2 linked regions of the Anolis sagrei genome follow. The protein of the gene in region 1 interacts with the protein of each later gene in a biochemical or structural test. Links are inferred from orthologs where the notes say so. Each region holds a gene or a part of one and is shown on either strand. Other genes may lie near its edges.

The links.
Region 2: the proteins of CTTN (region 1) and ACTR3 form a complex in vitro, tested with the Homo sapiens proteins (3 studies listed by BioGRID). The link is inferred for Anolis sagrei from reciprocal best matches to the Homo sapiens genes CTTN and ACTR3.

Annotation. Positions count from the first base shown.
Region 1 is NC_090021.1:267,291,309-267,307,576, forward strand, and holds the start of CTTN (src substrate cortactin), read left to right. Parts: upstream 1-9,101; 5' UTR 9,102-9,255; intron 9,256-16,268.
Region 2 is NC_090021.1:215,781,335-215,797,367, forward strand, and holds the start of ACTR3 (actin-related protein 3), read left to right. Parts: upstream 1-10,069; 5' UTR 10,070-10,375; coding exon 10,376-10,419; intron 10,420-16,033. UniProt on the Homo sapiens protein: ATP-binding component of the Arp2/3 complex, a multiprotein complex that mediates actin polymerization upon stimulation by nucleation-promoting factor (NPF).

The sequences.
Region 1 (16,268 bases):
TGGTAAGTGAATGGACTAGTCTTCCGACACATGAAATATGAATATGATCCATTCATCTGTGCTACTCCAAGGAAATTATAGTGGAAAAGAAATTATGTTTCTTGTAGCTATAGAAACTGTATCTCTATGTACTTGTCTGATGTTGAATAGCAGCAATCAGTACTGAATTGCTCTGAATTCTTGCTGGTAGCTGGCTTTCATTGCAGGCAGCTTTTTTCAGGATCTCTTCCTCAATCTATGGTTTTGAAATCACAGATTACATTTCATGATGCAAATATAGAATCAAAACTACAGTCATTTTTTTTTAGATCTGAGGCAAGTATTTGCATCTAGAACAACATCAGTTTCTATATTTATGTCTCAAAGCCCAGAAAGAAGAAACATTCTTCTGGGGTTTTTTTTGTTTGTTTGTTTAAGAAAGAGGAATAAGAAAAGGAAAAGGAAAAAGGACCATACATAGTAGCCAGGACCTTTCTTGAGATTAAATAAATCTAATAAAATACTGAGGTAGCCATAAAATTTTATTATGCTTGATGTTAATCAAATCAAGGTCTGGGGTGAGTGTGAAATTGGCAGAGTGTTACAATTTAATCTGTCCTGATCTCAGTGTTTAGATAGACAGCAAGAAGAGGCCGAAGACCTAGTGAAACTAGGCTGCCCCAAGTGCTATGAAGACTTCTGGCTAGTCTAAGGGACAGAGATACACCAACAGGAACATATTCCCAAGCCAGTTTTCTCTTGAAAGCTATATTGTTGTTGTTATTATTAATTTCATTAATATCATATTTATTTTTACCGTGCCTTTCTCCCCATGGGAACTCAAGATGGCTAACAATCCCACACTTAGTCAAGTATAAAAGGCGCAATACAAAAATAAAAAAACCCAATTAAATAGTAACTGTTAAAAACAAATTAGAATGCAATAAATACACTTCAAATGGTCTTTAAAACTCATAGCAGCTAAAATTTCTAACACCCATCCTACTTCATGGAAAATCTTGTTCTATCTCCCCAGATCAGAAAAACATGTATGTTTGTTTTTTCAAATATTTATCCTGGCCTACATTCAAGGATTCATGGTTTTTATTGTGTTACTGATGTTAATTGTAATGAATTTTTACCTGTGTCAAATGTTTTTAATGTTTAAATTATTTTTGTACTGTTGTGGGCATCGAATTGTGCCGTTTTGTAAACCGCCATGAGTCGCACTCAGGGTGAGAATGGCGGTATAGAAGCATAGTAAATAAATAAATAAATAAGGATTCAGGGCAGAAAACAATAAAATCAATTTCAGAAGATAAATAAGGATAACCATTACATAAAGGCAACAAATATATGCAATGTATCATTTCAAACTAAACTTAAAACAATTTAAAATAATCCACTACACACGTTCAAACATGATTAAATTAATTCAGCATCAAAACCTTCATTAAAAAGCCATGTTTTGACTTTATGCCTCAATGTCACCAGTATCAATACCAATGTAGTTCTTTCGATACCACAGTTGGGGTGCCATGGCAGAGAAGGCCCTTCCCTTTCTCTTCCTCTACCCCATTGGCACTACACAAAGGAGGATTGTGAAATACAGTAGTTCTCACTTCTCAGGTAAACATATAGAGACAGAGGCAAATTCTCAAGTATCAAGGTCCTAAGCCATTTAGAGATTTAAAAATATAGTCAGTCCTCTACATTTGAAGTTTTGACTTTTGAGAATTAGACTATTCACAAGTTTGATGTAAAATATTTTCTTTAGAAACTCTTAAGTCCTCCAGTGCAATCAATGCTATGTTTTGCTTTGAGTGGAAGTTGACAATAGAGTCATACTAGAAAATCTAGAGCTTCCTAAAAAGGTGTACTCTCAGGTAAATAGTATTTTAAAATATATATATTGAAATTTATATTATCAATAGACAATAAATACAATAGGAATTGTTTTGTTTGTTTGTGTTTTTTTACTTTTACAGCGGTCCTGTGCTGCTAACCCCAGTGAATGTGGGGTTAGCAGCACACTAACCCTGCATTATTTCCCTAATAAGACTGTATCTCTTATTAGGGAAAGGGATCAGTCCTTCTTGAATTAAATTACATTTTAATGGTTTATCCTCTTTTGGGAAAGTGTGCTTATACCCAGTGGTTGCGGGTGTCTTTTATGTCAGCCTGTCTTGGTTATAGCCCAAACTTTAAAGCAACCATCCTTTAGGTGCTGAATCCTAATAATGTAAAAATGTAACAGGTGCCAGTTGCTTGCATACAGAAAAAGAAGGGGTAGGAATACCCTCTCTGTTCTCACAGCTGAGATCAACTATTGTTGGGCTCTTCCCATGCAGATCTGCCTCCCGCCATTATCATTCCGCCTACTTATTATTCCCTTGGATAGCAATCTCATTTTTATTGCATTATACATTATATGTATATGACCTTGAAATCTGCCAGAATGAAGGTTATGCTGGAAGCTTCTAGTTATAAACAAGAAGACAAAACCAGTTATGCAGCCAAAGGAGAGCTACTGAGATTTCAGCCTGCTTGAAGGGACCCTGAGACCTGGGGTGGGAGTACAAACCCCAAAATTTCTGGTTGAAATCCCAAAGAGGAACTCTCCTGTGAAGATCCAAGGAGGATATATTGTGACATTTTGTTTCACATCACTGCTGCCAAACTGTAATAGAATAGGTACCCATTTAAGTTTTCTCCACCCTCACCACTCCTATATCTCATCTATAATATATCTTATATGTATCTTGTTTACATTTAATATGTGTGGTATTTTATTGTTCTTCAACAAATTTTCTGGGTATTCTGACTTTGCACCTGAAATAATTTTTTTGTGTCTGATCTATTAGAAGTGCATACAAAAGGGTGGAAAATTAGTAGCAAACATAGAAAAGGTAATGTCAGATTAAAGTACTCTGGTGAAGCTATCCAGACACCTCACTCACCTGCATCCAAGGCCCTTTCACACTGCCCCTGTATCCAGGATCTGATCCGAGTATCTGCTTATCTTGGGTTTTCTGGCAGTGGAGACTCATATAATCCAGTTTGAAGCAGATAACCCGGGATCAGATTCTGGGATATAGGGGCAGTGTGGAAGGGGCCCAATTTAGGGATTAAACTCAGGAGTCTGAGTAGAACAGTGACATCAACAGGGCAATTTCTGGCTAATAAGGGGCCCTTCTACACAGTCATATAACCCAGAATATCAAGGCAGATAATCCACAATATCAGCTTTGAACTGGGTTTTCTGAGTTTAAGATAATTAAGATAGATTAATGTAGTAGTAGTAGTAGTAGTAGTAGTAGTAAAACTGCAAAGAATCTGGCACAAGCCAGTAAAGGTTGTCCCAGTGGTGATCTGCACACTGAGTGCAGTGCCTAAAGACCTTGGCCTGCACTTAAAAACAATTGGCACTGACAAAATTGCCATTTGTCAGCTGCAAAAGGCCACCCTACCCAGATATGTGCACATTATTCGCCGATAGATCACACAGTTCTAGACACTTGGGAAGAGTCAGATGTGTGATTGAATACAAAAGTCAGCATAGTGATCTTGTTTGCTGTGTACTAATCTTGTTGTATGATAATATATTTATTTCCCACCTTTCCTGGAGGTTCAAGGCAGGGTACAACAAATTCAAAAACATGAGAACATAAAATATGTATAATAAATTACATGGATAAAAATACAAAAATATAAAAAACTTGCACCAAACAGATACAGAATTTATTTATTTATTTACCATACTTCTCTCCTGTCCCAAGGCTTCCCATCTAGGCACAATTCAATACCACATTAAAACACAAACATAAATTATAATACATTAAACAGAAAATCATTAAACATATAAATACAATTAGAACAAGATATAAAAAAGCAATTAAAACAAATAGTCCATATTCCGAGTCCATGAGCCATTCCAGTTATAGTCACATTAATTCTCAGCTGTCTATTGCATTGTAGCTAGTCTCCAAACACCTGGTTCCAAAGCCAAGATTTTATTTGTTTTCTGAATGCAAGGAGAATTGACATATAGTAGCAATAGAATGTAAATATAGTAGCCATAGTAAAGTAGCAATAGAATGTAAATCCAAACTCATGACAAGTTGACTGGGTAGGCCTGCCAGAAGAGAGGGGTCTCAGTTGCCTTTTAAATTCCAATCGGTCTAGATGTTGGAGCTCTTCTGGCAGGTCATTCCACAGTCTTAGGGCCTTATGTTTGCCAGTTCAGGTCTGGCTGGTTGGAATAGCTGTCCCCCAGAGGTCCTAACTGTCCTAAAGGTAGATTGTGCAGCAGAAGGAGATCCTATAGGTAACTCGAACCTAGTAGGTCTGGATGGGGCGGCCAATACTGACTGAAGTGTGGCTCAGTTGTTCTCAAATCTTAATGAAGCCTGCCTGATTAACCACTAAGCCTGCATGATGGAAAGGGGAATCCCAAGACTGGTGCATGAGGAAATGTGTACTACATTGGAATTTTTGTGGTTGCAACTGTCCCCACTTCTCCTTTTGTTCCAATGCTGAGAACGGAGGCAGACATATGAGCAAGTGAACAACTGAGGGAAGGAGGGACACACACTTTAAGGACCCAGTTAGTCAGCTGCAGGAAAGGATATGGAAATACAACAATGCGGTCCAATAAGCCACAAAACAAAGCAGTGTGTGTACAGAGAGAAAGCCACACTTAAAAGGAACATGATCAAACAGATTGTGGAGATGGAAACAGAATTCATAGTGTGACTAAAGTATCTCCAACTGGAGCTATGTATATCTTAAGAAAGAATGTTGAACTTAATTTCAGAACAAATCATGTTAATATTCATGCAGTTTTTTTCATCACAGTGTGACTGCTTTATTTAGAATAAGCGTATGAGTACCATAGTCAATGTAAATTAGAAGGTATGATAGAAAGGGAAAAAAACCACACAAAACTGCTGATATTATAGATGCTGTTTCTTTAAAAACCGGGTTATGGCACAGCTGGTTGAGAATCAGCTTCATTAAAATCACTACTGACCAAGGTCATGAATTCAAAGCCATCCCGGGTCGGAGTAAGCTCCTGACCATTTGTCTAGCTTGCTGTTGACCTTTGTAGCCCGAAAGACAGTTGCATCTGTCAAGTAGGAAATTTAGGTACCGCTTATGCGCGGAGGCTAATTTAACTAATTTACGATGCCATTAAACTCTCCAGCAGCCTGAAAAAGAATGAGGAAGTACTTCATCAGTGTCACAAGTGGATGGTGAAGCAACAGTTCCCCTGGTGGCCAGAATTCAAAAAGCATACCCTCATGAAGCTGGAAAGTTAAATAGCTTCTGTGTGTCTGTCTATATACGTTGTGTGTCTATGGCATTGAATGTTTGCCATGTACATGCGCATTGTGATTCGCCCTAAGTCCCCTGTAGGGTGAGAAGGACGGAATATAAATAATGCAAATAAATAAATAACATGTTCATATCAAATCAACATTTGACAATGCAATGCACACCAGTCTTCCCACCAGCAGACATGCAGCAGAAAGATACAGTAATTTGAAACAAGCCAAACAGAACATGGGGATTTTGCATTATATCCCAGCTTCAGTCACAAGAATGGGATAAATCACTAGGCATATTGGGTGAAACATCTCCTTAATCTGCCTTCTGTTATGATCTGACTCAACTACCCAAACAGATATTTATTGGGGCTACTCTGCAGGCGTGTTTATCTCTACTGTGCAATGACCTTCCTTAATTAGATACAATGGAGGACATCTTGACTACACACAAGGCAGAAATGTGCTAGCAGAGCACTCCTTGCAAAGCTCGGCAATTAAGTAAAATCTCGACAGAAGGAAAACAAGGGAGGCTGTGGTATTTGTCATCTGAAATGGGCTTCCAAATATTAAAGAGGAGTTGAAAGAAGTAATGTTTATCCACATGTTGAAGGCCAAGTGTTAACATTAAGCGTTTCTGCTTAATTTTAAACCAGACTTCTACTAGTTTCATAAAAGTCTGACTCAGTTGAGAGGAAGTTCATTTTTACTACAGCATTTAACTGACAGAGAGCATCACTGTGGAAAAATCATGACACTTCCTACCAGGGCCATAGCCAGAAAAAAATTTCAGGAGGGGTTGAAATTTTCAGGGGGGGGGGTGGGTTTGAAAATTTCACGGGGGGGGGGGGGTTGGTTGAAACCTGCCTCCTAGCTCACGCTGAAGCAAAGAGCACAGCAGGGGGCAGAGCAGCCTTCAATAGCCTGCAGCTCCGCCCCTATCAACCACCTCCACCAAGTCTGGCCTCCTTAATGAGAGCATTCAGCACACACAACCCCAACTTCAGGCCTGTAGCGAGGGGTTTTATTTAAGGGGTTCAACCCCCCCCCCCCCCGAATTTTTCAGATTTTTAAAAAAAACCCAGTTTACTCATGAATTTTAACTGGTTAACCAAATCCCCATGCTAAGTCTATGAGATGCAAAAAATTAAGAGTCCCTCCAGAACTGCAAGCACTATCTCAAGCAAATATTTATTTATTTATTTATTTATTATTCGAACTTATATGCCGCCACTCTCCTGGGGCTTGGAGCGGCTTACAAGAACAAGCTAAAATCGAACACAATTTAAAAACAATTTAAAAACAGCAATATCAGAGATCAAAGTCCCATTGAAACAGATATGTCTTACATGCCCTGCGGAAAGCTGATAAGTTCCGCAAGGCACGGACTTCAGGTGGCAGAGTATTCCAGAGAATAAATTGTCAATATTTAAGGCCTTGCATGGTCTGGGGCCGATGTACCTGAGGGACCGCCTCACTCCTACCAACCCCAGAGATCCCTCCGTTCTAAGGACCAAGATCTATTGGAAATTCCCAGTTTCAAGACCGTGCTTCTAACAGCAACCAGACGCAGAGCCTTTACAGCAGTGGCACCATCACTCTGGAATACTCTGCCACCTGAACTCCGTGCCTTGCGGGACTTATCAGCTTTCCGCAGGGCATGTAAGACATTTCTGTTTCAACGGGACTTTGATCTCTGATATTGTTATTTTTAAATTGTTTTAAATTGTTTTTAAATTGTGTTCGATTTTAGCCTGTTCTTGCAAGCCGCTCCGAGCCCCAGGGGAGTGGCGGCATACAAGTTCGAATAATAAATAAATAAATAAATATTTGCTTGAGATAGTGCTTGCAGTTCTGGAGGGACTCAATTTTTTGCATCTCATAGACTTAGCATGGGGATTTGGTTAACCAGTTAAAATTCATGAGTAAATTGGGTTTTTTTTTAAAAAAATCTGAAACATTTCGGGGGGGGGTTGAACCCCTAACCCCCCCCCCCTCGCTACAGGCCTGCTTCCTACAGGTGTCTGAAGAGAGCTGCTGGTTAGAGCTGCTATGAACTACAGTCCTTTTGGAGGACCACCCTTTGCTCACCCCGCTCTTCACACTATTCATGATTCATGTCTCATTGTCATCCATATATCAATCTTTAATTTACCCAAACAAAGTAAGTCTAAGTGTACCTCTGTCCTTGAATATATACTGTAATTCCTTTATCCAGAAACAACTATTATTTATTTATTTATTTATTTACTACATTTATATACCGTCCCTCTCAACCCGCAGGCGACTTGGGGCAGTTTACAGTCAGTACCAAGACCATAAAATACAATTACAATACAATTAAAAACATTAAGATAATATAGAACCATAGCATAATCAATAAAAACATATATCATTAGAGTTTCCTTGTTAAAACATTCAAGTACTGAAAACAGTCCCTGCTTCTTAAGCCCCTTCTACACTACCATATAAAATCTAGTTTATCTGCTTTGAACTGGATTATATGGCAGGTTAGACTCATATAATCCAGTTCAAAGCAGGTAATGTGGATTATCTGCTTTGAAAATCTGGATTATATTGCAGTGTAGAAAGGGACTTCGATTTCTGTACCAGAGAGTATTAATGTTGTCATTCAAGGGCAGGCATTGAATAATTATACACGCACAAGTATCAGTTTCAAAATTCCACATAGGATGGAGTTATGGCCACTAGAATAGTATCAGGCTGTTGTATCTGTGCAGTTTGAATGTAATCCAATCAACAATTTGGAAGCTAAATGAACACTGAACCTAATGCTGTGTGCATTTGTGAAGACATTACATAAGATTCTTCCCAGAAAGAGCCGCAAGGTGCTGACTGAGGGAAATGCTAATTGGCTGCTTGACATTGTTAATCTAAATTCAAAGACATAGTCTGGAATATCATTATGTAAAGGGCTTTTGGAGCACCTTGGAGTCTAACTGAAAGAAGGAAGTTGGTACCATAAGCTTTCGTAGACAAAAGCTTATGTTACCCACTTCTTCATCTCAGTCTCGAGGGTGCTCCAAGACTTAGATCTATTCACTTCTTTTTCCCATGTATAAATATTAAAATTAATATGACGCCCCTACTTCGTGGATTTTCATTTATCTCGGGTGGTCCTGGAACAGAACCCCATGATAAGTGAGGGAACACTGTATTCCAGAGCCCTTCAACACAGCCATACAACCCAGAAGATCAAGGCAGAAAATCTCACAATATCTGCTTTGATCTGGGTTTTCTGACGGCCCTTCCACACAGCCCTATATCCAGGAATATCAAGGCAGAAAACCCCACAGTATCTGCTTTGAACTGAGTTATCTGAGTCCACACTCTGATAATGTGGGATTTCCTGCCTTGATATTCTGAGATCTAGGGCTGTGTGGAAGGGCCCTGAGTCCACACTTCCATACAATCCAGTTCAAAGCAGATAATGTGGGATTTTATACAACTGTATGGAAGGGGCCTCCAAGTCTTCTGGAGGGGGCAAAGGTGGCGCGTTTCCACGGGAGGGAAGATGCTGCTTTCTCTTGGGCCGCAGGTCAGGCAGTGGAACCTCCATGCCTGGCTTTGTCTTTCGGGGCGTGCGTCCGCGGGTGTGCCCCGGGGGGGGGGTGCCTTGTTGGGCCGCCCAGGAGCCACGAGGCCTCCCCTCTCCCTCCCTGCCTCCCTCCCTGCCGGCCTTTCCTCCTCTTCCCGGGGCGCGCGCCTGCCTGCCTGCCTGCCGGCCCGCCCTGTGCGCGGGAGCCCTCTCCCACCCCACCTGATGACGCGCCGTGATGCAAAACAGGAAACGGGATCTTGGGAGAGGCGGAAATTGCAGCAGCCCCAGCAGGAGCAGGAAAGCTCGGAAGCGCCCGGCGCCGGAGGAGAAAGAGGCGGAGAAGGAGGCGCCGCCGCCGCCGCTGCTGTCCCTGCCGCCGGCAAGAAAGTGAGTGGCAGGAGCCCCGCGAGGGAGAGGAGGCGAGGGGGTGCTGCTGGGGGCTTCCCCCAAAACAGGCGGGCGAGGGTCTCCCCCTTGCTTGGGGTCCCTCCTCAGGGGTCTCCGGCTGGCCTCTGCAGGTGGGGTCAAGGCAGTGGAGGAGGAGGAGGAGGAGAGGCGTCCAGGGCGCCGCACCTGGAGCCAGGCACCAGGTCGGGAGTGGGCGTTGATGCGTGGCACATGGCAGCCGTGGGGCTGGAGTGGGCTCGCCGGCTTTGGGAGGCTCTTTGTTCTCTCCTGGAGGCTCCAAGGGGCGTGTGTGCCTCTGGGAAGGAGCCAGCCGCCGGAGGAGCGCTGCCTCGCCAACCCTCCCTTTCCCTTCCTTCCCACTTCCCCCCTCTCCACTCCTCTTCTCCTTTCCTCTCCTTTCCTCTCCACGCCTTCCTTTTCCACGCCTCGCCTTCCTCTCCTCATCTGGCAGTGCAACTATACTGTAGAACAGTGGGATCTCAACCTGTGGGTCCTCAGGTGTTTTGGCCTACAACTCCCAGAAATCCCAGCTAGTTTACCAGCTGTTAGGATTTCTGGGAATTGAAGGCCAAAACATCTAGGGACCCACAGGTTGAGAACCACTGGTGTAGAATGAATGCAGCTTCTCTCCAATTCAACTGCCATGGCTCCATGCTATGGAATCATGGGAGGTGAAGTCTGGTCAGGCATCAACACCCTTTGATTGGTTGGTGACACTCAAGACTAGGCATGGGCAAACTTTGGCCCTCCAGGTGTTTTGGACTTCAGCTCCCACAATTCGGAATTGTGGGAGTTAAAGTCTAGAGCACCCGGAGGGCCGAAGTTTGCCCATGCCTGCTCAAGACCTACCACTCTCATGATTGCATAGCAGGGAGCCATGGCAGTTGAAATGGTGTCAACCTGCATTCATTCTATGGAGGCAGCCTGGGACTCTTATCCAGGAGGGAAGTGGTGGCTTGGCTCTTGACCCCCTGTGAAAGGAGATGGCATCATGGGAGGTGTTCCCTTCTTTCACCTGGCATCCCAGTGAACAGTTTAGAACAGTGGTTTCCATTTTTTTTTTGGACCAGGGACCACTCTCCAACATTAGTGCCAAAAGGGTTATTAATCAGGTTTTGGTCAACTTTAGATTCAGTTTGGTTATTTGAGGTGCTGATTCAGAAAATTGCATTGGATAGACCACATCAGCTCTAGATTCTGATACAGAACATATACCATCCAGTACTCATCATCTGCTCACCCACAGAAAACCATATTTAATAAGCCTCAGTACTATAAGAGAGTTATATGAGACCTGTCACTCTTGTTGCAACAGTGTAGCAATGGTGAGGCTGTGGACCATATTTTAGTTCTTGCGTACCACTGGTGGTCCATGGACCACAGGTTGGAAACCATTGGTTTAGGAGAAAAGGGAAACTTTACAGAGCTGAAGATTCCAGGCCAAAGAAGCAGGGCTTATTTCTGACAGGGACTTCAAAAAGTTAAGGGGGCATCTAGGATGACCCAGGTGCAGGAGAGTGGCGTTTTGTGTGTGTGTTCAGGAACAGTGGCCTGGTTTTAGCCAAAAGGGGTTTCCTAGCTACAGCATTCCCAAAGTTCTGAACAAGATACAGTTCTGTAGATTTGTTCTTAAGCTGAATTTGTTTGTAAGCCAAAATAGGTCCATTTTTGAAGTGTAACTCCAGCCAAAAATATAAATCTTTTTGCTTTGGATGGGATAGGGAAGGGTTTACACCCTTGTGGTATTTGTTGTGCTGTCTGTGCCCCTTTTCAGAAGATTTCACCTCACATTCTGTCCCTATGATCATTGGATTTTTAAAATTGGCTTGTGGAAAAAAGGATTGGTGATAAAACTTCAGTGGACACACCTTTCCCCCATGATAATTCTTCCAGGAGTGAATTTCCCTTCCTAGGGGTAGATTTCTTTTTCTGCCTATTGTCTCACCCCCGTTCTTAACTATGAGCTGTTTATAAGGTGGATGTTTGTAACTTGGGGACTGCCTGTACCTAGAAAAAAAGAGCTGGATAGCACCTTGATCTCTGAAGACCTACTCTGTAGGTGTTGGGCACTTCCACTTTGACTGGGAGTACATCTACATTGCAACAGCACCAGAAGCAGAAACAGGAAAGCTCGGAAGCACCTGGGGCCAGAGGAGAAGGAGGAGGCACAGAAAGAAGTGCCACTGTTGCTCTGCTGCTGCTGTGTTGTACATTGTACAATTCATGCAATTGGACACCACTTTAACTGCCATGTTTGATTGGTATGAAATTGCTGGAGTTATGGTTTTACAGTGCTTTCTCTTCCAAAGAGTGCTGGTGCCTCACCAAACTACAAATCCTATGATGGAGCTCCTGGCATCGCAATGGGTTAAACCCTTGTGCCAGCAGAACTGAAGACCAACAGGTCGGAGGTTTGAATCTGAGGAGAGCACAGATGAGCTCCCTCTGTCAGCTCCATATCCCCATGCAGGGACATGAGAGAAGCCTCCCACAAGGATGTAAAACATCAAAACATCCGGGCATCCCCTGGGCAGCGTCCTTGCAGATGGCCAATTCTCTCACACCAGAAGTGACTTGCAGTTTCTCAAGTCACTCCTGACATGAAAAAAAAAAACTATTATTCCATAACATCGAGGCATTCCAGTTAAAATGATGCCAAACTGCATTAATTGTGCAGTGTAGATACACCTTGGGATACTGTTAGCACACATATAAATAGTTTCTGGGTGTGATCAGGTATAATGTGGGACAAAGGTGTGATAAGACATTTTACTGTGCATCTTGCCGCTCTGAGTCCCCCTTCTGGGGTGAGATACCGTGGGGTAGAAATAGAATAAATAAATAAAACGTTTATGGACACTTCTTGACAGCACTTCCGTGTACATGTTTGCCACCAGATTACAGCATATAGTACAGTGAAGTCCAGTTGTGGAAACATCCATGATCTTGGACAGGCAACATAATTTAGTGCTACTGAATGTGGATATTGGTGATGTGATGTGTTCACCTTTGAAGAACTCCCTGAAATGCCATGTTGCTTCCATGAAGTTTGGTGCAAGGGTTACATGTATCACATCTCTCCCTCATAATGTGAGAACCTGTTCTTGGAAAAGAGTCAGGAGAGCTAGGTTTTTGAACTGGAAGTAGAAGCTCTTGTCTGGAAATGAATCATACTGCTGAGCTATTTTGTTTCCTCTGATTCAGTAAGTGGCACATAATATCACTCATGAGTTGTTGCTGGAGGCAGAGTTTTGATTTCTTCAGGCAGAAATATGCCTGGCTCTGGAATACCTTCCATATTTGAATGTGTAAATAAAATATAAAATATTGTTGTTTATTATTATCAAGTTGACTAAGTTAAGGCAGCCTTGTGATTTACAGGACTCCAAGACAACCAGACTTGCTCAGGTCTTGCAAACACATTCAACTCAGAATTTGCAATACAATATAAAGTATAAGTAGGGGTGAGAAAAATATGGGCTTCCTGATGTTGTTGGGTAGCATCCCACACTCTCTTATATGGCAGCTGCAAGAGTGTAGCCACATTTGGAAAACTACTCTGGCACCCCGACATGAGAAATGAAATGGTTCAAAATGAAGATGTTTATTGAAGGAAATAATTTCAGGTGTGGTCATTGGTGTCCTTTCTCATTATTTAGCTGTTTAGCACAGACATCTATGGAGACAATGCTTTCTTTTCTGTCCTACTCCATGACTATTTAGGATTTCCTTCTTCCTCCTAACTCTGTACATTCATTCATAATTGTTTAGATGCAACATCATCCATTCACCTTGTTTTCCAGTCTTCCTTACAGGGGTTCTGCTTGAGTGTTCCTGGACAAACAAAGGTCTTATATATTTTGTAATTATATAAATAGATAAAATCAACAGACAGTTTCAGGCAAGCATACTGCATTCTTCCCCTTGACCAAATTGTGGTTTAGTGATCAGGGATGTTTTGTAATTCTCCGTGCTGTTGTACTGGCATTCCTCTGTGAATTTCCCCTCAATTTTGGAGATTAGTGTTAAGTCTGCATTTCCATTTTTTGCTAGGAGTTTTGGTTCCAAACCGCAGTTCAAAAGCATGATCAAAAGGAAATTTGCAAAATGCATTTTGGGCCAGCTATGCTTCACAAAAATGTTGCTGCTAGCACAATGTTGACCAAAGACTTGCTCTCTTTATAAAAAAGTGTTGGGGGAAAATATTCATGCAAGGGGAAAGGGGGAGGAGCACATGGTTTAATAATTTGTCAGTGCTAAAGCTCTGAACTGAGGTTATTTGCCAGGGAAGTTTATACAGTCAGTTATTGTAGTTTGACTGAAATGAGCACCCTATTTATCCCTTTACCAATTTAATTGTAGCTGACTAGGCTTCTTGATGCTTTCCTGTTGATAGGAGAACCTTCTGTCCTTCAGTTTCTGGAATCAGAAAGTGCATTCATGGCTTAAAGTAGTGGTGAGACTCATGTGGTCCTACGGATATTGTTAAACCCCAGCATGGCTAGGGCTGGCGAAATTTTCAGTCTGACAACACCTGCATATCCACATCATTCCCACCCCATCGTTAGACATCTTCTTTAGGCCAGGTATGGCAAAATGGTTAGATGTAGAATAATTCATTTTCCCACTGTGTTGTCGAGGACACTGGATGAAAATTTGAGCCAGCCTTCTTTCTGTTTTTCTCAGCCTAATTTAACTTGCAAAATGCTTGTAAGATAAACATAGGGAGAAGGATCATGCACACAACCTTGAGTCCACTGGAAGAAAAGCCAGTTTATTTCTAGATATGGGATTACTAATAGGTTGTTAAAGTACTTGTGGAGGGGGTATTATACCCACCAGACCCTTAAGATCCCTAAGGAAAGGCTTTTTTATCCCATCACTGTCATGGGCCTGTTTGATGAGGACACAGGAGAAGGTCATTTCAGTGACTAGTCCGAAGCTGTGGCATTCCCTACCATGGGAGCCTAAACTGGCTCCATCTTTGCCACTTATTGTTGGCAGGCAAATACATTTTTATTCGCACAGGTATTTAATGATTAAGTAGCTGCAGGTAATCTTTATAGGCATGTGCTGCATTATTAACTTTATGTTTCTTCTTTTAAACAATTTTACACTTCTAATGAAGTTTTAACATGATATTTTGTTTCATTGTGGTCCCCCCCCCCCACCCAGTTTTTTTGTTTGTATCTTATTCAAGCCCTGTTGCAGCCTCCCATGAGTCCCATGGGTGGTGAAAGACAGGTTATAAAATGGATTAAACAAAAGTTTGATCCAATTTTTTGCTTGCTTAATAGGGGAAGGGGATTTCTGGACAAATGCAGCAGATTTCTCTCTTGCAGTATGGACTTTGATTAGACAAGGGTGAGCCATTGTAGTGAGCCTGGGTGTTAGTTTTCAGGTAGGATCCTCTGGCAGCACAGACTGCCAAAAAATATCAAAGAAAGAAAACAGATCAAAACAAGAAGGAACTAGATATCCATTTCTGGTTTTGAAAAGAAAGGGGCGTTAATATTTAACAGTGCAGTGTTTTCAAAAAGGTAGATCCTGTCTGATCTTGAAAGCTAAACAGGACTAATTAGTGCTTGGGTGAGGGGCCATCAAGGATTACCAAGCATTGCAGGCTATATTTCAGAGGGAGGAACTGGCAAAACCACCTCTGTGCACTCCTTGCCTAAGAAATGTTACGAAATTCATGGGGTTGCCATAAGTCCAGAGGTGACTTGAAAGCACAATTTTAAGACTTGCAGTTTTTTAAAAAAGATGAATCACCACTCCTGGAGACTTTGAAGAGAGACAGTTCACCCTCGGGGAACAGAGACAGAAAAAGGTTGGCCCAGGGAATCTGGAGAGGCCGAGAGCTGCAAGAACAGTGGTTGCATGCAGGCCCAGGGCAGATGTTGGCTACCCCACCCTTAGCATCCATTATGCATCTAAACGAAACTGTCTGTGAAAGAGTTTCTGTGAAATAATCTAAAGTGTTGTGCAGTATAGATTCTGCACAACACTTTTCTTTCTTTGTTGTAGGCTAGATGCATTTTTAAATTAGAAAAAAACCACAATTTTTGGTTTGGTTTGCTGCTGCATAAGTAGGATGAAATATCCAGAGCCTTGGGTTGTCAGAGTTCCCACTCCCTGACTCTGTGGCTTTTCCTCCCCTCTCCCGAATTTTCTGTGTGAGTCAATGAGTCACATGAATCAAAATGGATAACATTTCTCTCCAGCCTAGTTTGAAAAAAATGAGCCAGAAAAGTAAACTACATAGGAAATGATTAAAACTACTGGGCTGCTAACACTGTCCATTGGAAAACTAGGAATATTTTAACTGGAATGGAAAATCTGGTAAAGTGTTGAAGTTGGTGCAAAGGTTTAGAAGGCAAGAGATGCTGAAGTGCAGCATAGGTGATCACATGATCTCTGATCCTCTCATTTGTCTGATGTGGAGAATGTGTGGTCTTTCAGAAGTCCATCCACACTATGCGAGTATAACTCTGTGTTTCTTCTTTAACTGCCACATTTAGGGAGGGGCATTTAAAATGTCCATCCAGAAAGCTCCAGTGCCTCACCAGACTATAAATCCCAGGATTCAATAGACTGGAACTATGGAGTAAAATGAAATAATAGTGATACAAATGTGTAGTGTGAATGGGCCCCAGGTGTTGGGATAGCAGCTTCCATTAGTCCTAGTTTCCATAGCAGAATGGTGAGGGATGATGTAAAGTATATGTTCACTGTTTTTAGATCTCTGAACATTTGTTGAATTTTAGATTGCTGCAGTGTAATCCTGAACATGTTTGCCTTGAATTTAATAGAATTTATTATGTGTGGGTGTGAAAATATTAGGGATTTATTTTTGAGCTTTATGGAGATAGGAAGGTCTTCCCACTGTCTGTGGGGAAGCAAGGAATTTTGCCAGATTTAGCCATATGTTTTTACTTAATGTAGTGTCAACTATTATCTCATCTGAAGCTCATATACAGAAAATATGTGAA
Region 2 (16,033 bases), about 52 Mb from region 1:
CTTTCCTAGATTTTGACAGGGCGGGAAGGGGCGGGGTGGGGTTTGGAGGTGGCCTGAAGTAAAAGGAGGTAAGATTGGGGCAGGGTAGTGATGGAGCTTGGGGTTGCATGTGTGTGTGCGGCGGCGGGGGGAGTGATGGAGCCTGGGGTTGCGTGTGTGTGTGCGGCGGCGGGGGGAGTGGGGTTGCGTGTGTGTGTGCGGCGGCGGGGGGAGTGGGGTTGCGTGTGTGTGCGGCGGTGGGGGGAGTGATGGAGCGTGGGGTTGCGTGTGTGTGTGCGGCGGCGGGGGGAGTGATGGAGCGTGGGGTTGTGTGTGTGTGTGCGGCAGGGTGTGTGTGTGTGCGGGAAGCGGTGCGGCGGGGCTTGGAGTGGGCATGGTTTCCGCAGAGGGAACGTTGGCCGGAAGGCCATGTGCGCGCGCGATGGAACTTGCGGCTGGGCGCCAATGCGCATGCTCAGTTGTTTGCCGTTTTGTGAGTGTGTTGTGTTGTTTTTCATTTTGAGTAGATATGTTTGTACCTTGTGGGTTGTGTTATGGGCATGGGAATTTTGGTTAAGTTTCGTTGGGGTTTTTTTGAGTTTTGTTCTTTTGCCGTTTTGTGAGTGTGTTGCTGTGTTGTTTTTCATTTTGAGTAGATATGTTTGTACCTTGTGGGTTGTGTTATGGGCACGGGGATTTTAGTTAAGTTTCGTTGGGGGATTTTTGAGTTTTGTTGTTTTGCCGTTTTGTGAGTGTGTTGTTGTGTTGTTTTTCATTTTGTGTAGATATGTTTGTACCTTGTGGGTTGTGTTATGGGCACGGGGATTTTAGTTAAGTTTCGTTGGGGGATTTTTGAGTTTTGTTGTTTTGCCGTTTTGTGAGTGTGTTGTTGTGTTGTTTTTCATTTTGAGTAGATATGTTTGTACCTTGTGGGTTGTGTTATGGGCACAGGGATTTTGGTTAAGTTTCGTTGGGGGATTTTTGAGTTTTGTTGTTTTGCCGTTTTGTGAGTGTGTTGTTGTGTTGTTTTTCATTTTGAGTAGATATGTTTGTACCTTGTGGGTTGTGTTATGGGCATGGGAATTTTGGTTAAGTTTCGTTGGGGGGTTTTTGAGTTTTGTTTCCTCGTTGGATGCCCCTAACAAATTTATATATATAGATTAGATTGATTTTATTGCCCACATACTTTAAGTGCAAGGCATTTCTGTTTAGTTTATTCTCTCTCCCTCCCTCCCTCCTTCTCTCCCTCTCTCTCCCTCTTTGGTAGTACAAAGGAAATATTAGTTGTAGCTCCCTTGGCAAATAAAGCTGTTCAGTAAAAGTGTGAGCAAGGTCTCATTGCACCAGGAGAGCAAGGGCTGGGCACTAGACAACACCTATTTTGCACCACTGTTCTTAATTAAACAAGCATTTCATCTCTAAGGTGTTACAAGAACCCTTTGCAAACTGATATTCCAGAATAATATGGCTATGCCTTTTCTAAAAAATCTGTCGCTGTTTCTTCTATGGTATCTCTAATAATTACTTACAGGATACTACACAAAATGTTGCATCTATTTATGGTACACACTCTGTTTTCCTTCCTAAATGCATGTGTGTGTCTCGGGGGGGGGGGGATTTCTTTTGCTCAAAGTTATTTCCATATATCACAGGTTGTATCCTATGTGTCTCATAAATGTGAGGTAGGTACACACAGTACCTCATTGGGAAATTATTGCCAGAATCCAAGCAAACGTGAAGCCAGTTCCATAAGAACTTGTGCACTTCTGACTCACTAATCTCAGTGAAATTCCCACTGAGATAATAATTTTCAGTTATTATCTGATGAACAAGTATCCTTTCCTTTAAAGTGTGAGTACTAATAGAAATCTATTTAAAGTAAAGTTACTGGCATAGATTAAATCTTAAAATTTCCTCGACAGAATTAATATTGAAAGTTAAAAATATAGTGGGCACAAAAATGTATGATATTGCCAGGCTGATTCTATGATCAAAGATGTATTACCAGAACTTCCATTAATGGAATGTAGCTGTAATCCTATACATGTCTAGCTATGGAAAAATGAAAGGAAAATTATTGGAAGGAGTGTGGTGGGGAAATAGACGCAAAATATTGCATACCCTTCAACATTTAATAGATAAAAACCAGGATACAAATAACAAAAAGAGAGTGGGGGGGGGGGGGGAGAATCATAGAATCATAGAATCAAAAAGTTGGAAGAGACCTCATGCGCCATCCAGTCCAACCCCCTGCCAAGAAGCAGGAATATTGCATTCAAATCACCCCCGACAGATGGCCATCCAGCCTCTGTTTAAAAGCTTCCAAAGAAGGAGCCTCCACCACACTCCGGGGCAGAGAGTTCCACTGCTGAACGGCTCTCACAGTCAGGAAGTTCTTCCTCATGTTCAGATGGAATCTCCTTTCTTGTAGAGAGAGAGAGAGATCAAGATGGAAAACATTATTTGTAAGGAAGAACAGACAAGCTAGGAGAGACTGCATCAGTTTGGTTGTCTGAGTTTACAGCTACATTGTAGAATAAATTGATTGATTGATTGATTTAAAACATTTATATTCCGCCCTTCTCATCCCGCAGGGCACTCAGGGCAGAGCACAACATATATACGGCAAACATTCAATGCCGGAACATAAACTATAAATATACACAAACATTAAAATAACTTATATCAACTTTAAAATTGACTGTTTTAAACCATCTCAGGACACCATTCTATTATTGTCTCATTTTACTGCCCCAAAGCCTTGGTCCCACAGCCAGGTAGAACTGCACTTTAACTGCCATGACTCAGTGCTATGGAGTCCTGTGGTGTTGAAGGAAAGTTCTGAGAGTGCCTTGGACCACAAGAAGATCCAACCAGTCCATACTTCAGGAAATAAAGCCCGACTGCTTATTGGAGGGTAGGACAGTAGAGGCAAAGATGAAGTACTTTGGCCACATCATGAGAAGACAGGAAAGCTTAAAGAAGACAATTATGCTGGGGAAAATGGAAGAAAAAAGGAAGAGGGGCCGACCAAGGGCAAGATGGATGGATGGCAGCTGGAGGTAGTGACTGCCGACAGGGAGCTCTCGCGTGGGCTGGTCCAGTAGGTCACAAAGAGTTGGAAACGAATGAACGAATGAACAACACCAAATGCACCCTGAGTGCATATATACTGAGTGGAGAGTATGTCATCTTAAGACAGTGCAGTCCAGAAATAGGTTTACAATCTCAGTGAAAAAAGAAGTGGGACTCTCACTTTAAGAGGCAAGTTTCAGTTGTTTTCATGCTTCAGGATGTGCTAACTCAATTTTGAAAAAAAAGCTTTCATTTTTGGCAGGTGGGACCAAAATGGTTAGAGGAGCAGCAGCTTGTAGTACCAGACAAGGGTGACTTGTACATTGAAGTTCTGTTCCTTAAAATCTGATGTGGCTCTGCAGTCCAGTAATGTTTAAGTAAATACCTGTTAGTTGAAAGCATCTTTGTATTTTGCTGTTTCTTCTATTGAGAACAGGAAACAACATATCAACACTAGCAGATTGCCCAAGTATCTCTGCAGACGTTGCTCAAGTATCACATCCATTGCTGCACATAAATCAACAGGAAGGAGATTCACTTGCTACATAAAAGAAAATGGGAGAAGGTCTCAACACCTCCATGGGGCAACACTGGTGTACCCACCATCCATGATTCTAGCTATTCTAAGAATCTCTTATGTTCATACACATGTGTTTATTTATGCACAGGGAGATATGAATACGTGACTCCTTTTAATTGTCATTGAATAAATAGTCAGTGGGTACAGTGGAAGTGCAGGTGACATATGGAAAACTGTTTCAATTTATATTGTAAGCCATTTTGAGTCTCGTTTAGGCAAAAAGCAGAATCCTTGTCATCATGGGCCATCATTCATGGCCAAGTATGATTATCTTCCAGAAGCAGGGTCTTAGCGATGGATTCATAAATGACTGTGAAGGCCTATTCTGGATCCACTAGACATACATTTCCAGATAGAAGGTGGTCACAAGGGTTTGGTTGCCATGCCTTCCTCTTGGCACATTTCTTCTTTTCACCCTTTATCCATGCCTCTTCAAAATCTATAACACCTTTGGTAACAGCTGACCTTGAGTTGCCAGGGCTTTCCAGTTTTTGTGTTCATGCCACATTTTTGTAGGTTTTTAGCCCATCTTTAAATCTCTTTTGTTGTCCTCTGACATTCCATTTTCTGTTCTTTAGCTGAAAGTAAAGTAACTGCTTTGGGAGGAGGAGACCGGGCATTCAGCGGTGGCCAGTCCAACAAAATGGATGGTGAGAATCACTGCTTCAATACTGGTGGTCTTTGCTTCTCCCAGCACACTAATGTTTGTCCGCCTGTCTTCCCAAGAGATTTGCAGGATTTTTATTTATTTATTTATTTATTTATTTGCTTTATTTCTATACCGCATTTTTCAGCCCAAACAGGCGACTCAATGTGGTTTTTGTTTTTCTGAGGCAACACTGATGGACTCTTTCCAGAAGTCAAGAGTGACATTTGTAAATGCTCTGTGTTTTGTAGCCACACAACAGAGTTGGATGGAGAATAGCTTCATAAACAAGCATCTTGGTATCTCCACAAATGTCCCGATACGCAAACATTCTCTGCTTCATTCGAAAAAACACAGCACTCACAGAGATTAGACAATGTTGTATTTTGATGACTTTTGTGGAGAGGTGGCTGCAAATGGAAGCAGAAATGGTCAACATTTTCTAACATTACACCATTAAGCTGTGTTAGTTTGTGCCTGCTGGTAGAGTTCTTTGATTTTTCCTATGTTAACTGAAAGGCCAAGCTTTTCATAGATTCTGAAAATATGTTTAAAGTGGCTTCTAAATCTTCCTTTGAATGAGCACATTATCATCAGCATATTGGAGTTCTATAACAGAAGTTGTTGTTATCTTACTTTTGGCTTTCAGCCTGCTGAGGTTAAACAGCTTGCCAATATGTGATTTCCACACCAGTGGGAAGTTTCCCATAGAAGCCAAATGAATAATTAAATGGATTGTGCAGCCTCACACCATTAGTCCTAAAGACATTGAACACGCAGCAGTAATACAACTTTTTCCAAGGCATTACCATGCCCATAATAGTGAAGCATACTGGTGGAAAGGGCTCCAAGGCCCAGTGGGCAAAAGTATAGTAATGATAAATGCAGCCATGCTTTCCAGATGTTTTATGGAAACCAAGCCATTACAATATAACCCTGTTATCAGTGTATTTAATGTTCATGGCTTCACTTATCCATGTTCCAAAAATTATCCCCTTGCCCTGCTTCTGGGAAGTGTTTCCTCGTATGAGGACCTGGTTATTTTGGTTTATTGTAATTTGTCATGTTAACATTGTGTTAGTAAATGGTGGTGGGAGCCAGTAGAAAATTTGGTTGTGTTAGGACCTAGCAACAGATATTATAGATAGTCTCTGGTCTGTTGAGATCCCAACATTTTGTAACATATTGCTTATTTTTTTTCCACTCACCAGATACCTTTGAAGGCAACAATAAGGTTGATGTGGCCCTCAATAAAAATTGAGTTTGACACCCCTATTCTATGGTCTCCTGTGGATACCAAATTTTGTGGATGCTCATGTTCCATTATATGCAATGGTTAGATTTATATCCTACCTTTATCTCAGACATGCAATTTAGGGCAGAAGCGCCTTTCCAATAAGTGAATATCGTGCTTCCAATTCAGACATATACATTTCACTATACTGTTAGCTGAGAAGACCGTGAAAATATATGATCTGTGTATTTTTACAAACATGTTCATCTCCCATAATTATCAGGACCCACAATTAAAGATGAAGTGAAGAACGGAGAAATATAATTTCATACACTGTAGATTATTTTCTGTCAATAACAGCACCCATTCTCACTAATATCAGATGAACATCTCCCCTCATCTGGGCTTCAAGGAGCACTTACACTAATGCAGTTTATGGAAAACATCCAAAAGATTTCCTTTATGGCTCAACCATTTTCAATTATTTAGAGGCCAGAGATTAGGAAAATATACCTATATTGCATTTTGTGAAGAGGCATATAAGCATAGGAAGCAGTTTGAACATTTCCTTTGTTGTCAGATTTTAGCAGCAAGCCTATGTTAAATTGAAACTACAAAATATTATTGGATGTAAATTCTTTATCTCGAGTGAGAATAAGCAGCAATCCATGTTTGTGGATTTCAACTCTTATAGCTTAAAAATAGGTAAGCTACATGTGGTTTGCAGGCCACATGTGGTTCCAGATTCCCAAATAATCACTAGTCTACAAAGGGCATTTCCCCAATACTTAGATAACATGCTGGAACCACCAGGGGTCAAAACAAAACCTATGAATTTCACAGGATTTTCCTAGGCAAGAAACTCAGACAAAGTACCTCCTCAGAAACATAGCCTACAGTACCTGGTCTCCCATCTAAGTATGATCCAAGACTAATCCTGCTTAGCCTCCAAGACCAAGGGGGATCTGGTGACTTTAGCTGTTTCTTAGTGTTGATTGCCATTAAGTCAACTTTGTTATGGCAACCTTATAGATGACAGGCCTCTAAGGACCTTATTAGAAGTTGTCCTCTATTTCTACACACTTCAAAGATGGGATTCCACGGATCCCATTAAATGACACAGGACACTTCCATGGGTCTTCATCTCCGTAGAAACGGGTGGATTTTAAAGACAAGATAGTCGACACCACTCGTCTCCGTCTGTTTAGAAATGGGTATTTTTCTATGGGAAATTGTCCATTTATCAATTTTCAGTCCATATTCTGATATTTCAGGGTGGGTGCTCATGTGAGGGGTCTTTTCATGCTCCTTGTTGCTCCTTCTGCTGCCATTAGTCTTTGGACTTCTATTCTCCTTTTAAAAATATTTTGTTGTTGATACTGTGACTGTGCAATTGAAGCATGGACCTTTGAAATTCTGTAATTGCACTTTTGAGTATGGAGAATTGGTACCAAGTTTGGTCCAAATCCATCACTGTTTGAGTCTACACTGTACGGATGACAGAATGGGAGGAGACAACACTCGCCCATGTGATGAGAAATGAAGCACAGGGTTAAACAGAAAAGGAAGGAGTGATGGGAGTAAGCAAATTCTCTTGTTTTATTTCAAAGGAAGGAAGACGATTCCTCCTGCTTTTCCCCCTTTGTGGGATGAGGTACGAAGTCAGTGGTTCTCAACCTTCCTAGTTCCACAACCTCTTAACACAGTTCCTCATGTTGTGGTCACGCTGAACCATAAAATTATTTTTGTTGCTACTTCACAACTGTAATTTTGCTACTGTTATGAATAGTAATGTAAATATCTTATATGCAGGATGTATTTTCATTCACTGGACCAAATTTGGTACAAATACTTAATACTGGTGGGGTTGGGGGGGTTTGGTTTTGTCATTTGGGAGTTGTAGTTGCTGGGATTTATAGTTGACCTGCAACCAAAGAGCTTCTGAACTCCATCAACAATGGAACTGCACCAAACTTGGCACACAGAACTCCCATAACCAAAAGAAAATACTGGAAGGATTTGTCGGCTTTGACCTTGAGTTTTGGAGTTGTAGTTCACCTACATCCAGAGAGCACTGTGGACTCAAACAATGATGGATCTGGACCAAACTTGGCACCAATACTCAATATGCTCAAATGTGAACACTGGTGGAGTTTGGGGAAAATAGACCTTGACATTTTGGAGTCATAGTTATTGGGATTTATAGTTCATCTACAATCAAAGAGCATTCTGAACCCCACCAACAATAGAATTGGGCCAAACTTCCCACAGAACCCCCATGACAAACAGAAAATACTGTTTTCTGGTGGTCTTTGGCGACCCCTCTGACATTCCTCTCACTAACCCTCTCCAGACCCTCAGATTGAGAAACACTGTTCTAAGTCATCAATAAGCCAGGCCTTCAAGACTCGGGGGGCAATTGATTCCTTGATTGAGTCCATCCATGTGGAATGTGGTCTTCCTTTCTTCTTGTTGCCTTCCATCTTCCCATTGTTTTTTAGTGAGTCATGTCTTTCTATGATATGGCTGAAGTATGACTGTCTCAGTGTAGTCATCTTGTCCTCTAGGGAGAGCTCAAGCTTGATGTGCTCTAAGAACCATTTATACTGGTATTTTTTAAAGCAGTCTACAGTACAATTCTCCAATGTCACATTTCAAAAGAGTTGGTTCTCATCTGATTTATAATAATAATAATAATAATAATAATAACTTTATTTTTCTACCCCACCTCCATCTCCCCGAAGGGACTCGGGGCGGCTTACATGGGGCCATGCCCAGACAACATACAGTTAAAAACAGAACGCCCATATATAAAACAGCATAAAACATCATCATCATAAACAATAAAAGCAGGCATCATAAGCAACAATATAAGTACCCTTTCTTTCCTGTTCCGTTTTTACAACCATTTCTATATAAGAAATTGGAACTATCATGGCACGGACAATCATGCCTCTGGTATCCAATGGTGCACCTTAATACTTAAGGATCTTGTTTAGTTCCTTCACAGCTGCCCTTCCAATCCCTAGGGTGCACCTACACTGTAGAAATAATGCGGTTTGAGCTGCATTGGCTCTAATGCTATGGAATCCCGGGAGTGGTAGCTTTACAAGGCCTTGAGCCTCCTCTGCCAAAGGTGCCTCACCAAACTACAATCCCAGAATCCCACAACATTTAGCCATAGAAGTTAAGAGTGGTGCCAAACAGCATTCATTCTATGTGCTGCTTAAGGTTTTCATGGCTGGCATCATTAGGTTGCTGTGAGTTTTCCGGGATTGTATGGCCGTGTTCCAGAAGCACCCTCTCCTGATGTTTCACCCTCATCTATTACAGGCATCCTAATTGGTTGTGAGGTCTGTGGGAAATTAGGTGTGGGGTTTATATATCTATGGAATGTCCAGGGTGGGAGAAAGAACTCTTGTCTGTTGGAGGTAGATGTGAATGTTGCAACTGGCCATCTTGATTGAAACTGAATGGCTTTGCAGCTTCAAAGCCTGGCTGCTTCCTGCCCAGGGGGAATCCTTTGTTGGGAGGTGCTAGCTGGCCCTGATTGTTTCCGGTCTGGAATTACCGCTTTTTGAATCTTACCCTGATTTTAGAGGGTTTTTAGCCAGATTTTCTTGATTTTCATGGTTTCCTACCTTCTGTTGATATTGCCCACATACCTGCCATAGACGTGGACGAAATGTCAGGAATGCTTCCCGAACATGGCCATACAGCCTGGAAAACTCACAGCAACCCAGCATTCATTCTGCAGTGTAGACGCACACTGTGGCAAATACCATAGGTAATGGCACCCACACTCTTTGGCAGAGAAGGCTGAATATCTTGTAAAACTGCAAATCCTAGCAACAGGATGACCTAACACTGAGCCATGGCAGTTAAAGTGGTGTTAAACTGCATTCATTCCTGGTTTCTGAGGGCCCTTCCACACAGCCCTATACCCCAGAATATCGAGAATCCCAGAATATCTGAATTGAATTGGGTTGTCTGAGTCCACACTCAGATAATGTGGAATCTTCTGCCTTGATTTGAATTGGTTTCTGAGTTCATATTCAGATAATATGGGATTTTCTGCCTTGATATTCTGGGATACAGGGCTGTGTGGAAGGGCCCTCAGAAGGGGGAATGGGAATTTAGGTCCTTTCCACACAGCCCTATATCCCAGAATATCAAGGCAGAAAATCCCACATTATCTGAAAGTGGATTCATAGAACCCAGTTCAAAGCAGATATTGTGGGATTCCCTGCCTTGATATTCTGGGCTATAGGGCTGAGTTGAAAGGCCCAAAGTGATTTCTGTTGGGCGAGTTCACCTTTCTGCTTCAAGCTGGGCTATGAAACCCAGGCAGGCGAGAAGCGGAAGTAGTGGGCAGGAGGAGGAGGGGCGGGGAGAGCGAAAGAAGAGAAGCCTGGCCGAGGGCCCGCCCGCGCCACTTCTCCTCAGCCGCACGCTTCCCGAATCGCGAGCGCGTCACTGCATGCTTCGGTTTGACGCGCCCGCCCGCCCCCTCCTCCTCCTTCCCCCCCCCTTTCTCCGCGGCTCCTCCCCCCTCCTCCGACTCTCTCGGCCGGGAGGGACGGAAGAGGCGGCCATTTTGGGCTCGCGCTCGTGTGTGAGTGTGAGCGAGGGGGGAGCGAGGCCGAGGCTGGGAGTGACTGACTGGCTCCTTTGCGGAAGTGGGTGGCTTCGCTCCCCCCGCCCCCCTCCTCCCTCTCCTCCTCCGGTCCTCTGAGTGCAAGGAAGGAAGGCAGGAAGGAAGGCAAGAAGGAGGCGAGCCAGTCCCGCGGGCGCCTCGGCCGCACCTTCTTTTCCCTCCGCGCCACCGTCGCCGCCGCCGCCGCTCGACCCGGGAAGGAGGATGGCAGGGCGGCTCCCGGCCTGCGTGGTGGACTGTGGCACCGGGTGAGCCCAGGGCCAGGGGGAGGGAGCCAGGCGGGCAGAGAGGGATGAATGGGCCGGAGGAGGCCAGCCCCTGCCTGGGAGCTGGCTGGCTGGCTGACTGGCTGCTGACAGGTCGCCGAGACGGGAAAGGGAAGGCTGCCATTGCGGTTCCCTTTGGGGGCGGCCCCACTCTCTCTGTGAATATAAAATAATATATAATGTATGCGTGTGTGTGATGTATATAGATGTGTGTGTGCATTGTATGGTGTATGCATGTGTGTGTATGTGGGGGGGGGGGAACTGCTTGCTTCAACCCACCCCTTTCCCAAATCAAATAAAAGGTCTCTCTCTGTGTATATAATATAATACATAATATGTGTGTGATGTATATAGATGTGTGTGTGTATTGTATGGTGTATGCATGTGTGTGAGTATGTGTGTGTGTGTGTGTGTGGGGCGGGGGGTGAGGGGGTGGAACTGCCTGCTTCAACCCACCCCTTCCCAAATCAAAGAAAAGGTCCCTTTTTAAGTACATCTAAACCTCAGTTCATTGACATTCCACTTTCTCGTCCCTTCTCCATTGCACACCCATCAAGTTGTGTGTATGTGTGTGCACACACACACATAATACAACATTTATATGTCGCCCTTCTTCTCACCCTGAAGGGGACTCAGAGCGGCTTACAAGTTACATATATACACAATATATTGTATTATTAGCATAGCACAATATTAGTATTATATATAACTACATTGTGCTATACCACTCTACTGTAATATTATTAGGTTGGATATATTTGTGTGGGTGTGTGTGATGGGGCAACTGTTTGCTTTACCCCCATTTGAAAATGAAATAAAAGGTGGCTATTCCTTCCTCCTTTCCCCGAGGCATAGCCAATCCCCCCCCCCTTTGGCTCTCTTTCCCCCCCACTGCTCCCTCTGTTCTGTTGCAAACCCTCCAAGTTGTGTGTGGGTCCAACAGCCTGCCTGTTTTACCCACCCCTGAAAAAAGTACAGGGTTTATTTTCTCTCTCAGATTATTCAAAGCTTCTCCTCACCTCATTGACATCCCTCCCCCCCCCCTTCATTGCTAACCCTACAAGTTGTGAGGTGAGTGTGTTTTATATACGCATACATATACATACATACATACATACATACATGAAGAGGGGTGTCAGTGAGGTGAGAAAAAGCTTTGAACCATCTGAGGGGGGAAAGGGAACCCTGTATTTCATTTTCAGAGGTGTGTAAAGTAAGCAGGCAGTTGGATATATATGGATTTTGCTTTTGGAGAAAGGGGACCTGTCTCCTCCATGGCTGTCGTTTTGACGGTTTGCTCAGCCTGTTCTTGTCTTGAAGGCATCCACCTTCAGGAAGGTGGCTTTGTGGGAGGAGAAGGGAGTCACGCCCTAAAACAGCAGGGCTCCTTCCAGGTTTAAATATGTGGGATTGGCCTTTTGCTCATTCCTCAGAGGCGGTGGCCTCTCTCATGCACTTCTTTATTTCTTTCCTTTCTGGAAGTGGGCTTGCATTGTCTCCCCATTATAAAGTCACGGAAGATGCCATCGCTACTGTTTCTGTTCATTGTTCATTTAAAGGCTGACTGGACGTTTTCCATTAGGAGGATGTCCTCTGGAAACTGGGTGTTTGCACCCTAATATTATCATTGCATACCATAATTTTTCTACTCGTTTCAGTGGCCTAGAAATTTCACCCTTTAGTTCTTTGAAGAAGCAGAGCTTCCCCATTTCTTTCATAATGAAAACGTGCACTTTCATGCAGCTTAGCCACAGAGTCAAGCTCAGACAGTTTAAATATTTTATGCTTTCCAAATCAAAGCCGGCTAACAAATAATTTTGAAAGGATTTCACCCTCTTGTCTGTAATCTGCAGATAGATCTAGTGGAGCGGTAGCTTTATTAAGCAATGTCATGTTTTTTCCATATGTGTCATTTCTTCAGCATTACTTCTCTGTGTGTGGGTGAAAAAAAAAGTCCACCCGCTCTAGTGAGCAAGCGCAAACCAACTTCCTTAGTTTTGTCAAAGGCTCTTCCTCCTTTCAGGCTTCTATACCTTATAAGGCAGTTTTCAGTGTCAAACCTGAACCAAATCCTTTTTTTAAATTTTACAATTGACAGCTGCAAGGAAAAATAGCAATGCTCAATATTTAATATCTGCTTATAGAATGGAGCTTTCCAGCAGACAGTGAACTAAGCCATTGGGGACTTCCTGAAATGAGCGTTTTGTATCTTTCTTTTTGGTGCCTTAAGAAACTGGGCGTAAGGAAATTTCTTTTTGTGAAGACCTTTGCTCAGTGCATATGCAGATGACTTTGAAAATAACTCAGCAGCATTTTGATATGTAGATTGTATTTGCAGCATCTAGCAATGAAATAATAACATAACAGGTCTGCTTTTACAGCCCATATAATTGGTGGCACAGTGAGTTAAATTGCTGAGCTGCTGAACTTACTGACTGAAAGGTCAGTGGTTCGAATCCAGGGAGCAGGGTGAGCTCCCGCTGCTAGCCCCAGCTTCTGCCAACCTAGCAGTTCGAAAACATGCAAATGTGTGTAGATCAATAGGAACCGCTTCAGCTTATTTTTCAATCTGGAAAAAGCATGTGTAGGTGAGAAAAAGAGTAGGAAAAAACATCACAGGATTAAAGTACAGCTAGTCTCTGACTATTTAAAATTAAAGCTATAATGAAAATCTTAATATATAAATTCTTTTGATTTTCTACTGTTATACATTTCTGGAAGCTGTGTTGTTTTGGTGAACTTATGGTGATTCAGTATCACACAATACTTAATAAGTCACGTTTTCTCCTTCGAAAACCTTTTTTAATGAAGTTTTGACTATGCACATCTATATGAGGCTTCTTTACATCTCTGAGAACTCAGTGTGAATTATAATGTTAAAATGATCTGTGGGTCAAAGAGGTAGGGATAATCATAAGTGAATAAGGGATTTAATTCCTGATTCTGCAAAAAATTCCTGAATTGCTTCTTGACAATTGAAGGCAGGATTTTTAAAATATTAGATAAAATTGCACAGACAACTTTAATAGTTCTTTCAAATAACAAACTAAATTTGTGAATTCCTATGAAAATTGAAAGATGGGAGGTCTCAATGCTATTATCCTGGAATTACATTCTCAGTACTGAAGCTGCTTATTTTATGTTTAGCATGTAGAGGAGACACATAGAGAATAGGGGGACCCATTTTAAGTGCCCTCAGTCCTTCATGGGAGTTGCATACCACAGTTTTCTGAAACTGGAAATGATTTTCCAGTAACATCCAGTAACCTTTTTGTTTTGCTTGTTTTGGGCTGGATTTTGGAATAGAGGAAGCTGAAGCAGTTATTAACACTTAACATTGAACCCAATGAAGAGGTTTTTTGGCAGTAGTTCTCAATTTGTGGGTCCCCAGATGTTATGGCCTTCAACTCCCAGAAATAGTAACAGCTGGTAAACTGGCTGGGATTTCTGGGAGATGTAGGCCAAAACAGCAGGGGACTCACAAGTTGAGAACCACTGTTTAGGGCATTGCTGTAAGTGTTAATGGGCACATGCTGCCTAGATACTTGCTTACTTACCTGAGTCCTATACCTGTTTTAGAATATTGATTTGTATTCATCGGGTTCTTATGTATAGTTTCAATTTCCAATGATGTATTGTACTCCTCTGACTTGAATTGTTCTGATGCCATTCTACCCTACACCTTTCTCTGTCTCTTCTGTTGATGCGGATTGGCTTTAATGTAAAGATATGGTTGTTTAAATGAATAAGTTGATTGGAAACTACTATGTATTTCCTTCTCATTCTCATAGCCCACAAATGTTGTGTTTACCTGTAAAGATTTATTTTCTGATTACTTCAGTTCCTGTTATAGATGACTTATGAGGTACTCTTCATGCAACAATGTGCTTATACTAAGAGCTGAACATTTAAAAGTGAAAAGGGGAAATGCAGGTCTCCAGTTAGACATGGAGCTGCAGTGCCTGGTTCATGTCCCTGAGATTCTCCTGAATGTTCCTTTCCCTGCAGCAAAACTGGAGTGTTAAACGATCCTGCTTAATTAAAAGTTAATTGAGTTTTGAAAGCTAAGTGTGTATGGAGGTTCTTACAGAACTGAGATCTTAAAAATGCAGTATAATGAAAATTTAGAATGATGGTAGATTGATTTATAGGTTCGAACATGTATCAGAATGGTTCATTTCAGACATGGACCAAATTTTGATTTGTACTCACAGTGGATTGATCTTTCAGGTGCATTGGGTTACACTATCTGCAACTAAGATTAGCTTATTTGAACACCATGCCAAACTGTAGTACAGAACTTGATTTCTAATTCTGGTATAGTGCAAAAGATGGCTTGTCAGTTCAGTCATGATGACACAGTAAAGTTAAATGTAATGTTTAATGTATGACATCGTAACTTGGGTGAGACTAGATGACCTTTTTTTTAAAAAAAGAAGTATTCCACAAACTGTGATAAAATCTGTTTTTCATAGCATGTGATTTTTAAATAGTTATCTTACATAAACTATGAAACTTGTTTTATGGTTGGTGGTACAACATGCATAAATTGTGAACCTGAGGATACATACATACAGACATGCGTGTGTGTAAGGTAATATTCTGTTCACATTATATTCAATTACCTTGCACATTAGGATTATGAACTTCTTAGGCAGTGTCCTATTTAAGCCATTGATTCCAAGCATCCATTTTTTGTAATTACAGTTCATTTAAAAAATATTTGCATTTCTATAAATATGAAATACTCTTCAATCATAAACTGTTCTGAGGACATGTGGTAGTTACTGTGTATTGGAGCCTATGCCATTATTTTGCAGATCATTTTTAAAGTCAATTTATTTATTTAATTGATACCCAGCCTTTCTTCTAACTAGGGTTCATGAGTGGAACAAATTAAAGCAAAGTGCTTTGAAAGCGATTTTCCTGCTTCTTGGCAGGGGGTCGGACAGGGTGGCTCTCGAGGTCTCTTCCAACTCAATGATTCTATGATTCTAAGGTAGAATTAAAAATAAGACAATATACAGATTAAGCAAATGTTGCAGCCCCATGTAGAGTGCTATACTGTAGTGGCCCAAGTGGAAGATATTCAAGTGGTGAGTGTGCTGTACCCATATCTAACATCCAGGAACAACAAGTGATACATTAGCCCCAACAGTGCAGATGCATTCATGGCTATTATGAAAACTTGAACATTCAGGTTTAGGGTTAAAATCAAAATTACAATCAAGCAACAAACCTGTAATTTCAGTGGGAATGCAATCCCATTTAGCACAGATTGAATCCTTATTCCCTGGTTTGCTTTTTGACAAACCAGGAACACTTTTGCCTTAACATGGTTAGGTTTCAGTTTGCTCACCTATGTACAGTCCATTACTCAGAATAGAAACTGTCCTAGTAATGAAACTACTTCCTTGAAATTGCATGTAAAGAAAATATAGAATCTTGGGCATCAGGTTGTTTTCTTTTGTAAGAAATTAGCATAGTCTTCTATATATGTAAACTGTTAATTATGATAACATAGCATGGCAGTGTACTCATTCACACAATTTTCTAATCATGTTACTCACATACATGGAACTGGAAACACGCCATC